Linked DNA regions of Nothobranchius furzeri. Each later gene encodes a partner of the first gene's protein in a complex. Links are inferred from orthologs where the notes say so. Each region holds a gene or a part of one and is shown on either strand. Other genes may lie near its edges.

Region 1 (5,999 bases):
CAGAAAAGTCCAAAAGCTTTGAAATAACATTAATTCCCAAGTTGGACCTGCTCACAGTGAGTTGCCGCCTTTTGTCACCGGTTCTGTGCAGAACCTTGGGCAGATTTTCTAGGTGCAGCCATGGAGTGGAGGGTGGCAGGAGGATCTTGTCTCTCCTAGCTACGTCAAACTTCAGCTCTTGACTGGGGTGAGGATCAGCACCTCTAGAAATGGTTCTCACATGGAGAAAGGCCTGGGTAAGGTCCCAGGTTCCACCCGAGGAGATGGAGGAGGTGACGGAGGAGGGGACCGATCAGGCTTCCCTGCTAGAATGCCATTGTGTAAAAACTTTACTAACAACTTAAAAGTTGTTTTCTTTGTGCGACGAGTAACGTCTAAAACGAGGTGAGCACAAGAAAAGTCCAACAACAGAAAAGTTTAATCAGCTGATCAACAACAACTCGTATGGATCTAGGTCTACGCAGCCTGGTGAACAGGGTGGAGGCGTCAGCGCCGCAGCCGCAGGAAGAAGGCGTGGCGGCACTCTGTGCTGTCCACAGGGTAATATTTATCATAGAAGTCCAAGATGTACTCCTCGGCCTTGAAGCCAAACTTCTGGTAGAGTAGCATGGCCGGATTCCTGGCCGACACGTGCAACGTCACGTCCTTCCCCATGCACGTCTGAAGGCACAACAGCTGTTAGGGTCCAGGCTTTCTCGTGTAAACTACCTGCCCGCCCCAACAGGACTCACCTGGATGAGATGGTAGATCATGAAAGTCCCGATGCCGGCCCGCCTCCACTCCGGATGGACCAGCAGGAAGGAGATGTAGGCTTCGTTGTACTTGACGTCTGGCACCATGAAACCAAAGCCAACCACCACCTTCTTATAGAGAACCACCACGCTAAAGTCTGGGTACTGCAGGCATTCAGACAGGTCCACACCTGCAGGAACACACCTGGAGGTTTGACTCGTGGTTGACAGGCGCAAGCAAAGGAGGGAGGCGGAGCCATGTTACCTGGCCAGAAAGTGTCTTGGCACATGGCGTTGACGGAGGGGATGTGGTAGGGACTGACGTAGCAGTAGTCAATGGGGGCGTCCGGTTCAGCGACCCAGTCTGGATCCTTCCTGTGGGGGTATGCTCTGATCTCCTCCAGCAACCTGAGCTTCACCGGGCGACTCTCGTAATCCCTCCTGTGGAGCACACAGCTTCTACGTGATACCTGGGCCTGGGCACCTCTGGAGCGCCACCTGTAAGGCTTTCGTACTCCAGCAGGTAAGACAAAGTTTTCAGACTGGCCTACCTGATGAACGGTTTCAGGAGGCGGGACGTGTACGGACTCTTGATGCTTTTGTCCAAACTGCCTTCAGCTCCCATCAGACGGTGCCAAAAGGACACGGAGCTGTGCTGGACACGCCTTCGGCTGGAGACGCTGGTCTGTAAACACACAGATGGGTTCAGAGACCAAAGCTGAATCTGAGCCGATGGTGTTAGCTTTCAAGGGAGAAACGGCACAAAAAGGTCAAAGGTCGAGTGAGAAACAGCTGGAACGTGCTGCTGATGTGAAATATGGATGTCTTCTAAAGGTTTGGAGTTGAGGAGACAAGCAGAGACCTGAAAACGATCCAGAATCCGCTGCTCCTGGCGGCTGCTGCAGTATTTCTTCTTAGCCCCGCCTTCCACATGTGCCCCCGCCTCCTGCGCATCATAGATGCCTCCCACCAGGCTGAGGGTGGCGCTGATTGCTCGGTCAACGTCTAGCAGGGGGAGCCCTCTCTGGCGTTTGGTCTGGCGGACCAGCAGCTTCCTGTGGAGGCGTTTGGCATGTGGAGTGACGGCCAGCGCCAGCGGGCAGGCGTCCAGCCGCAGCAGCAGCAGCCGCTCCTCGTACAGGCTGAGCGGGACCAGGCCCGGATCCCGAAGGACAGCCACTTCGTTAGATTTCTCAGGATGAGTCGCCCTCCGCCGCTCGGCTGCTCTGACGCCAACCGGACCCCGGCAGGAAAGAGTCGGGGCCTCTGCCGGCTCTTCCAGGGAGTCCTCGTTCTGGTGGCCATCATCGTCTTCACTCTCAGCTTCCCGTTTGATGTGGGATGGCGCCGCTGGGCGGAGCTTCTTACGGCCAACATGGCTGGTGCTAGCAGGAGGGATGTACTCCACCCCTGGGTCAATCATCCCTTCAATCTCATCGTCATCTGAAAGAGGGAGGCAGACAGGAGATGACATCACAGCTGACACCACAGCCCAGCACGAGGATGAAATGACTCACCGTGGAATAATGCCTGTGGCGGCATGGCGTCCGGAATTAGGTCCGCCTCCGAAAGAAGGCTGGGTGTGGCTGAATGAGAGGCAGGCGTTCCCGGAGCGGAGAAGTCGGGCGATGGAGACAGAGATGGGCTGGTGAGCGGTGTTCGGTCCGAGGAGCTGAGGGATGAGAACTCGATGACCTCGCCTTTTTCCAGGACCACCTCAGACCGGCGACTGGCACCCCCACCGCGGCCTCCGCTTAGCTTAACGGGAGTGGAGGAGGAGCTGCGGTCAACGTAGCCTCCCACTGCCTCCTTCTGGGCTCGGCGGATGTCTTTGGCCTCTTGTGTGCGGCAACGCTTCTCCTTCAGCTGCATGGCGTTCTCCACCGGGTTCCTGGCTCCACGTTTCCTCAGACCTTCCACCGTAATAATCGGGTCCATCACCGGTTTAGAGACTGTGAGTGAACGACACAATGGATCAGTGGGCGGAGCTTTCTCACCTGAACATAACTGTGACAATGCATCTCACCTTTGACCTTAGCGATGGATTTGTCCCCATCCGGTCTCAAGGTGGGAGGTCTGTTCTGGACCAGCTTCCACCAGCCTGGTTCTCCAAACTCCTGCGCACCAGAGCGGAAGAAGGTGGGACTTCCGACAGAAAGGCAGCCAGCGACTGTGCTCCACCACGTTGACGTCTTCTTCCTGCAAACATCATTAGCATCTTCACTGATCCGAGTTAAAGATTCAGCAGAACTTGTGATGATTCTTTCAACGGGATCGATCGGGGCTGGGATGTTTCCTGGCCCTGGAAACCCATCTTCCCTCCATCATCTGTGCAACTGTGGATGTTTAAAGTGGGTCAAACAGCTCAGGTTTGAAAGGGAAGCCTTAAACTCTGATTGGCCAGGGTCTCCGGCATGACTTCTAACTCACCTGTTCCCCAGCAGGAAGTTCCAGTGGCGGCCAATGAAAGCGCAGATGTCCTCCTTCCACCTGAAGTAACCCTGCCGGCCTGTCCCCTCCAGAGACAGGTTGTACATGGCCAGCATCACCACCTGAACACAGGATGTTCCTGTTTAACAAGCAGGAAGTGTGTGTGTGTGTGTGTGTGTGTGTGTGTGGTACCTGCCCTGCTGAGTCTGGGTCATACCTGCTGCCAGGTGAGCCTCATCCTCTCAAAGCTCTCCTTCCTGTCCTCAGAGCACTCGGAGCAGAAGAACTTAAAGAAGTTGTCTCCTTTCAGGTAACTGGGCTGGTCACCGTGGAGCTCAGCTGGACCAGAACCGGGTCAGAAAGACAAAACCCTTTAGGATCGCAGCAACCACACACACACACACACACACGGTCCTCCATGCTGTGCTGTGACTGGCTGACCTGCAGGGATCCACTTGTGGCAACGTTCGCAGTAGAAGGACATGTCCTCACAGGCCCAGCCTCCATCCGTCTCCTCGCCCACGTCGCTGGTCAGAGAGTCCCCGCTCTGGTCGTGGGACAGGTCTACGGAGCCCTGGTCCTCAGACTCTACGATCAGCAGAGTCTCCCCCTCTACCTCGCCCTCCTCCAGACCCTCAGAGGCGGATGTTCCAGCCGCCTCGTCCTCTGCCGCTGCCAGCTGCTCACTGCTGCTGTCCATCTCTGGGCACCTGTGGAGGTTACATGGGTCAGAGAGGCACTCTCTTATTTGTCCATCCAGAAGACCCATGTGGACATTTCAGATACAACAATAGGTTCAAACTGGATCAAACCAGACAGAGAAGTTCTGGTCCTTCATGTCATCTTTGTTCTATACAAGCAAACACAGCTGAATGACCATGTTTCCTGACCTGCCTCAGGTGTCCTGTGACTGAAGCCTCTCCTCTCCTCTCCTCCGCTCCTCCTCCAGGTGTCTGGTCAGAATCCTCTGCTCTTCCAGTAGCCTCAGGTTCTCTTTCTTCCTCTCCACCCGCTCCAGATCCTGAACCACACCCTCACGCAGCCTCTGCAGGGTCATTAAAAACAACACGTGACAACAGGCCCTGCTGCGGAGTCACGTCGGCTTTAATCTGAACCCAAGTGCAAGATAAAAGGGCCTACAAGAGACTCAGAACCATAAGCACAAAGAGGCTCCTCCTGCAGAGCAGAAGTAACACAAATATGGGTCCGTTTCTCACATAGTTCGGGTCTAGATTCTGGCTGGACCGCTGCACCTTGGTTCTGTTGTTGATCTGCTGCTGTGTTGTCACAGACTCGTGTGTGTGTGTGTGTGTGTGTTAGATATCAGGATGCTGGACTCCTGTGGAACCGGCCCAGGCCATTAGCCCTCCACCACCATGTTGACAGCTGGGGTATGAGCTGTTTGTGCAACAGTGAATTATGGGTAATCATCTCACATCCGGGACATTGTGAGCTGCCAGCCAGTTTATTTCTATCACTTCCTTACAGGAAAATTATTTACGCTGGTTTTGGGTCAGAGGTCAGGTTAAATGTCCTGTAGTTCGGTTGCTGCTGGACCGGCTCGATTCGCACACTTACCTCTCGATCCCAGGCCTGGTTTAAATGGACCGCTGCCACGGTACCCAGCGTCAGAAGCACAGAAACACCCAGAACCACTTTGGAGGCTGCCGACATCACGTTGGGTCTGACTTCAGTTAGCCAGATGCTAACAGGCTCCTCGTCTGCACTACCGGAAGTTATTCTTCTTCTTCTGTTTATTTTCACTCCCATGAGCCACAGCGGCCCCTGCTGGTGGGGAAATGAGCTGCAGGCAGCCATCGTTGAAGGTTTCTTGGTAACAGAACAAAAAAAGATGGTTGTGGTGCTTTTTCAGCATTTTTTATGACGTTTTACCTTTTTTCGGCTAAACATTTATGCGACGCAGGCTGAGAATGTACATTAGTATGTGCACATAGTTTTGGAAACCAACGTTTTCTTTTTATTCGTTGTTTTTAGTGGTTGGAGTTTACAATAATAACGTATGGCCAAGGTGTGTTTACCTGTAATCTGATCATTTCCTTCTTTATTTTCTTTAAGTGGAGCAAGTGAATTTCCCCTCTGTGGGATTATTAAAGTCTATTCCATTCTATTCCAAGATAGGACCTGTTTCTCTCTCAATGAGGAAAAGGAAATTTCAGTGTTCATGTGTGTAAATCTCTTATCATTTATTTCATTAGTGTAAATGGTTCAGAAGTAGCTAGTTTGTTAACTAAAGTTTTGGAAAATCACCCTGACCGGAAAGTTGGAGAGGAGCGATGATCTTAGCAGTGAGGAGAAATGTAAAACACGAAGAAAAAACCGGAATCATGCAGCTTAAAGTCTTGAATCAAGATTGAAATGAGCAGAAATGGTCAAAGTTTGAGGAGCAGAAACGTTGGTTTTAAATCTAAAAGAATTAAAAGGTTTTTCAGTGTATTTGAATTTTGCAGAAAGAATTATAAAAAAAAACACAAAGAGCTGAGCTTAAAGAGCAAGTCTCCCCCAAATAAACTTTTTTTGCTGATAAACTAAATAAACGAGTGTCTAATCGTGCTACAGACACGTGTCGTCAATAATTTGGCACTTCAGTGCATCTTAGTTAAAATTTAAATATTCTGCCTAAAACTGTCAGTGTTGTGCCGTTGTCAGGTAAAAACTCTGCACTGTATTTGAATTTAAATCTGCCACCACTATTGGCTAAGAGGTATGCTATGATGTCATCTGGTACATTATGATGTCACAATGCTGTCCTGAGCCTGTGTGTGTGTGTGTATTTGTTAGCAGCTCCGCCCTCTCGGTCTGCCAGGCAACAGCATTTGT
Region 2 (5,982 bases), on another chromosome or scaffold:
TAGCAGTTCAGTGGACTCTACCTAAAACAGCAGATATTCTAACTACTTATTACCATAGAAGCTCAAGATCACCTGTTGTTGTCTCTAAACCTAAAACCTGTTCAGACTTAAAATTTGCTTCAGGAATGTTGCATCAATGTACTATATATCTCCCTCATTCCCACATTATCACATTCAAAAACAAATAACTCACATAAGTTAAACCACCTAAAGGGCGGTCCAGACATCGTCTTTTACAAAAAATGACCAATGAAGTAAAAGTTACGGAGAAATGGAAGCAAACTGCTTTAGAGGTAATATCTGTGAACGTCAGGGGAGGCTAAAAGTGCTCCAAGATGAAGATTTGCACAGAATAAAAATCTAAGAGAGCACTGGTTGAATTTGCATTGAACTACATTATGTGAACTGTCATCATTTAAGTTTAGTTTCTAATGCAGATCTCTGTGCTGTAATGTTATCTGAAAAAGCTTTGTGTGTTTAATCCAGAAGACTCACCGTGGACTGAAAGTACTCAGGAGAGAGTCCCTCCAGCTCCAGGATTCGATCCTCCAACGTCTTCAGTCGCTGGTAGACGGTCAGAGGAACCGGACCCACTGAGGAATAAAACATAAATATAATATGTTCCATACACCAGACTGGGAAAAAAAGGACTAAAACAAAACCCAGAAAATAGGGAGAGAAATCATCGTGTGACAAGATTCTCCCCAAAAATATGTACGTAGTTATCATCTGGTGTTTTAAATCAGCCAATATTCAACATGACAAGGTGATCAGTCAACCCAGCACCTGAGAATCAGATTTTCCCCCAGTTTGTTCAAGTTAAAGACAAAAAAAATAAAATCTGTTTTTTTTTTCCTAGTCCATGAACACACCATCACTATCATTGGTTGGTTAGAGTAGTGAAAACTCAGAAATCAGTATCGGCCATAAAAATTAGAATCCGTGCATCTTTGAGTGTGATTAACTCTTTTTTGTGTGACTTAAGAAAAACATCAAGAATTTATGTTCTTGTTGATATTTTATAAAAAAAGGTGCTCATCATGTCACAATATCTATATTATTTGTATTGTACAGTTTTATTCAGGATGTGTGACGCATCACTTGTCTCTCTTCTCTCACCTGACGGCAGTTTCAGGTGAGTCTCCATGTTCTGAAGTCGCTCCTCTATGGCTGCATTTCCACAGTCTCTTGCAGCTGCCCCCCTATGATGCTCTGCAGCCTCTCCCTGGCGCCCCCCGCCACGAGTCTGGGGCCCGTAAGTGTTTACCACTCGTGAAACTGATCAACCAAAGAATAATCACAGACTCGGATGAACCAACCAAATTTTAAATGATGCACATTACAGAAATCACACAGCATCCATGATGCTTGTTACCAAATTGTTAACAAAAATAATTTAGCTAGTGATGATGAGTGTATTTTTGAACGTAAGAGCAACAAAGAGTCCCCTTTTCTTACCTTTAATGTGGCTTTTAAAGCCTGGGTAAGGAGTGAACACGGCGTCCGTCCTGGCACAGCTGTTTTCTACAAAGGAATCAAATCCAAAACAAAAGTGTAATTAGACTTTCTAAATGTAAGAAGAAAATAGTCATAAAAAAAAACATTAGAAATGAATACACCACACTTGAACTGCAACTTCGTCTGATTTCCATTACTGGCGTCACACACAAGCTTTGAATTTCAAACAGCCTGTGTGTCTGGTGTTTTTCTGGCCAGAGCAGGTTGCGTTTCAAGGCCGAGTGTGTTAGCTACTTCAGGCCCACTCTTGGAGCAGTTCAGCCTGACCTCTCGCCTGTGGAAATCAGCTCTCTCCCAAACATTGGCAATCTGTGTGCAGCCTCCCTCTCCACCCTGCCCCCCAATCTCTCCTCCGTTCTCACCCTGATTGCAGTCGATCACGTTGCAAAACTCGCGCACATTGTTTTCATTGATCTCCATCTGCTTGCATTCCATAAATGCAGATATTCTTCGCTCGATCTGGAGTTACAGAGAAGACAGATAATAAGACACAACGGGTTGATGAGCCACTGATAGCTGTGAAGAATTCAATGTTTTGTCGACTTATTTTTACTGATTTAGAGTAAACAAAGTTCAGCGATTTATGGTTTCAAAAAATATCAAACACAGTGAGAGAAATTATTCCAGATAGCCCAAACAGTTGAATAGATTATCGTCATCATGTGATGGAATAAGAATACGGTTTGCCTGGCTACCAAAATAAATGCACAACAGAATGGGGCCTCTTGTCCTTCATCCACATGCAATCTCAGAGTAATGAGCATCCACTTCATAATCCATCAAGGACCTGGCCCTCTCTCAAACCCCTCCAGCAATGTGGTCCATTCTACCCCACCACAGCACTACAGAACCCTTTATTCTCTGTCAAACCCAGTATCAGAACTCCATCAAGCATTTGCTGCACATCATGTGCACATCCTTGGAACCAATTACTTATGATTATTCATTTGCTTGACAGAGTGTGAAGGGCTCTAAAATATCAGTGCCAGAACAGCTGACAGATCTGTTGACAATGACCAACCTCTGACTTCCCGGCTCGGATCTGAACCATGACGTCATCGCCCGAAGACCCGCAGTCTGCAGCCTCTGAGCTGTGACGCCGGTGCTCGGATGATAGTGACGTGACAATGTTATCCGCCGTGTCTTCCTTCACAGATGTAACATCAGCTTCCACCAGTGACCTCAGGCTTTCTGAAACAGCCTACAGCCAAACAGAAAGAACACTGACTGCTACAAACACATTATAAATTAGTGTTATTATTTCTTTAATTACAACACTAGTGACCATCAATTATACTGTAAATGTGGCACTTATTAGATATTGCAGTCATATGTAACATAAATTAACCAACGGGTGAATGTCTTACCTGCAACTTAGCAATGTGCTGCTGTACACAGCCATAAACACCTGCTTCTGAAGATGACGAAAGTACTACAGCTCCAGGGTTGACCTCTATTCTCAAAGCAGCATCCCCTAATTTCAGCTTTGAGAGAAAATAAACAAGAGTTTCATCAAGTACACATCACCACAGCTAAATAAAAAATATATAGTTCAAAATAGTAGAGGCAGAAAATGCTAAATAATTTAAGTAATTTAACCAACAATTTGGTAATTAAAAAAGAAGCAATTTTTCATAATTTGCTTCTATAAACGGTCAAATTAAATAATCTTATTGTTTTACACTGAACCTTTCTGCTGTGCTAGAAAAACTAAACCATTATTTAGCAAAAAAAAACAGTGTATATAAGACTGAATACATATATTTAATGTCCCTTTAGAAGCCCTGGGTATGAAAAGAGCTAAAGCATCCAGCAATTTTAATAATTTAGACGTAAACACGGGGGGAAATAGAGCAAGGTTAAATATATTTTCTAAGGTAGAAATGCGTTGTGGACAGTGGCATCAATAAACGTTTACCTGCAGGACCAAAAATTACATAATACTGCGTAAAAATGCCAAAAACCGTGAACGTTTACTATATGGAAAAAGAGGGTAAATGAAAATAAGCGTGATTTGAACCTAAACTGACGTGTGACACAAAAGTCTGGACATGTTTTTATTGCACAGAAATACAAATATTAAAACTGAATCTGTTAATTTAGATATAAACCATCGAGCTGACGCTTTCCTACGGCAAAAACTTGATTAACGGACAGTGAATGAACATGAACCGACGAGGCTAGTTGCTAAAAACATTAGCACACCGCTAGGAAACTACTCAGACTGGAATGACTATTCGGAGCGAAGCAGCTGAATCATTTCACACCAACCTCTTTCCCAAAGTCTGAAAGCAGCCCCAGTATTGCGTCCATGCAGTGTTTGTAACTGGACATTTTAGCTGGTTCGCTGGGAGGAGCTTTGCTCTCACTTAGCTTCGTTGTCTCCGCCATTGCTACTCAAACTCATGGAATACTGCGTGCTCATTGGTTGCGAGACGGTGATTTTAATCACGTGGTTGGTGGAACTGCAGGCTAAAATGACGCATGCGCATTAACAGTAGCGCATGAAAGTAAATTCAAAGCACAAAAATAAATGATTTACTGTGTTTTGCTCAGAATTTTGATCTTTAAATAGATTCTGAAACATTAAAAAACCTGTATAGTTTTTTTTGTTTGATCCTAAAGAGGGCTCATCATAGGTAGAAAGATGCTTTTGTTTTTGTTTGTGGAGATTTAATTTCTAGAAGGCTCATTCAGAAAGCAAAAGTCAACTTTTACTAATTTAAACTATTTAATAAACTAGTACAGATGCTTAAAATTGTGAAATATGTTTCAGTATAACAAAAAAGTAAACAATAGTTTAAAAAACAGCAGAGAAAAATAAACAGAAAATGTTTTAACTTTTGAAATGGACATATTATTTAGGTTCAGTATATTTGTTTGCCTTTTCTCAGAGGATGCTCATAAGGTCATGTCTTATTTGTATAAAGCATATAAAATAAGTTTTATTCTTAAAAAACTACTAATGTTTTTATTGTGCTGATTTTTGAGGTGCTTTATGACTTAAACTCTTTTTTAAATCTTGGTTTAAATGGACTTGTCTACATTTTTACAATACTGACTGACATGTCCAAGCCACATTTGCCTACGTTTTCATTCACCTGCTTCTCAAACAGCACAAAGAATGGCTCCTTATTATAAGCACACTGTGCTTCTTACTGCAGAGGACCAAGCAGCAGGGCATTGGGATGGGAACCTGCCCACAATGGTGTATTTCTCTGAGTTGAGTGACTGTGGGAAAATCTCCCTTCTCTATTCAGACATTTTTCACTTCTTTTCATATAATGAAGAGAGAGACTGATGAAGGAAACAACAGAAAAAGAACAATTACAGGCAAAGAGACGGCACAACCATGCACTCAGAACTCAATAATGCTCTTTAGAAAGGTTAATCATTTTAGGAAGGGCTCTGAAGATAAGCCTTTTTAGCTTAATTCATTTGTAGGGTGATATTTTTTCCCGTGAAACAGGAAGAGAACTGTAACACTTGACATGGTTTGACATGCTGAGCAGTTGCTAAATGTTCCCACACAGCGAGGAGCTCTGAAATTAAATACACTGCTCATTTAATTTGCCTGGCTGCAGACCCAAGAGCTGTAATTTTTTTTACCCTTTTAATGAGCTGTATATGTGATTTAAGGTACTTCTTGGAAAATACTTAGAGCATTTTGGTTGAATTTAACTTTTGAAGCCAAATTGCAGATGCTCATTAGCTAAGGGTCTGACTTGATCTTTCACTATCTTGTTAGTTGAAAAATCATAAAGAACAGAAGAGGTAATACTTACATCATCATATATTAAATTAAATACCAATACTTTGTAATTGCATGTTTTAATCGGGAATTTCCAGGTCGTGCCATCAATTGAACATAAACAACCATTTAGCTAAATGTATTTTTCATTTGCATATGTGCAAATAAATACCAGACAGTCCAAATTTGGTGATGTATTTATTTGAAAACAGCCTTTTTTTTATATGCGAATACTTTTACATATGACTCGGTCAGCAGCAGTCAAAGAATGCAGCTTCAGTCTACATCTTTATTTCCTTCAGCAATTCAAACACACACATAAGACCCAATTTTCAGCAATAAAAACAAAATGAAACATAGAACAGACATTATTATGATAGCCCAGGAACGTGCATGTCAAGCATAACAAAACATAGGAACAATATGTTAATCAGTGCAGAGCCGAGGGTTTTTCCACAATCCTTGTACGTTTGAATAAAAGTGAAAATAGCTTCAATAGGTGAGATTTTTCAGTGATTAATAGATGCAACAGTGAAAATGCAAATGTGGTGACAAAATGGTTTGGCCCACTTTAGTGTAAAGGATAAATAAATACAGGAAAATAAATGAATTACACCAAACACAGCAGAAGAGGTACTAGAACATGTAAAGTGTGAGAAACTAAATACAAACGTGAAAATTAACCTAATCTTTTCAAACAGAAGTTGTGTGTC

Evidence for each region.
Region 2: kat14 (region 1) and mbip share a complex: the UniProt entries of both Homo sapiens proteins name them as parts of the ADA2A-containing complex. The link is inferred for Nothobranchius furzeri from reciprocal best matches to the Homo sapiens genes KAT14 and MBIP.

The regions. Positions count from the first base shown.
Region 1 is NC_091746.1:29,632,415-29,638,413, reverse strand, and holds kat14 (cysteine-rich protein 2-binding protein), read right to left. Parts: upstream 3,862-5,999; coding exon 3,603-3,861; intron 3,501-3,602; coding exon 3,379-3,500; intron 3,284-3,378; coding exon 3,162-3,283; intron 2,931-3,161; coding exon 2,758-2,930; intron 2,684-2,757; coding exon 2,249-2,683; intron 2,175-2,248; coding exon 1,594-2,174; intron 1,417-1,593; coding exon 1,283-1,416; intron 1,173-1,282; coding exon 997-1,172; intron 923-996; coding exon 732-922; intron 661-731; coding exon 487-660; 3' UTR 396-486; downstream 1-395. Other genes in the region: protein PET117 homolog, mitochondrial, read right to left, coding at 4,057-4,206, 4,740-4,979. UniProt on the Homo sapiens protein: Component of the ATAC complex, a complex with histone acetyltransferase activity on histones H3 and H4. May function as a scaffold for the ATAC complex to promote ATAC complex stability. Has also weak histone acetyltransferase activity toward histone H4.
Region 2 is NC_091758.1:21,135,529-21,141,510, forward strand, and holds the start of mbip (MAP3K12-binding inhibitory protein 1), read right to left. Parts: upstream 3,949-5,982; 5' UTR 3,910-3,948; coding exon 3,790-3,909; intron 3,003-3,789; coding exon 2,886-3,002; intron 2,720-2,885; coding exon 2,540-2,719; intron 1,978-2,539; coding exon 1,881-1,977; intron 1,525-1,880; coding exon 1,459-1,524; intron 1,279-1,458; coding exon 1,120-1,278; intron 594-1,119; coding exon 496-593; intron 1-495. UniProt on the Homo sapiens protein: Inhibits the MAP3K12 activity to induce the activation of the JNK/SAPK pathway. Component of the ATAC complex, a complex with histone acetyltransferase activity on histones H3 and H4.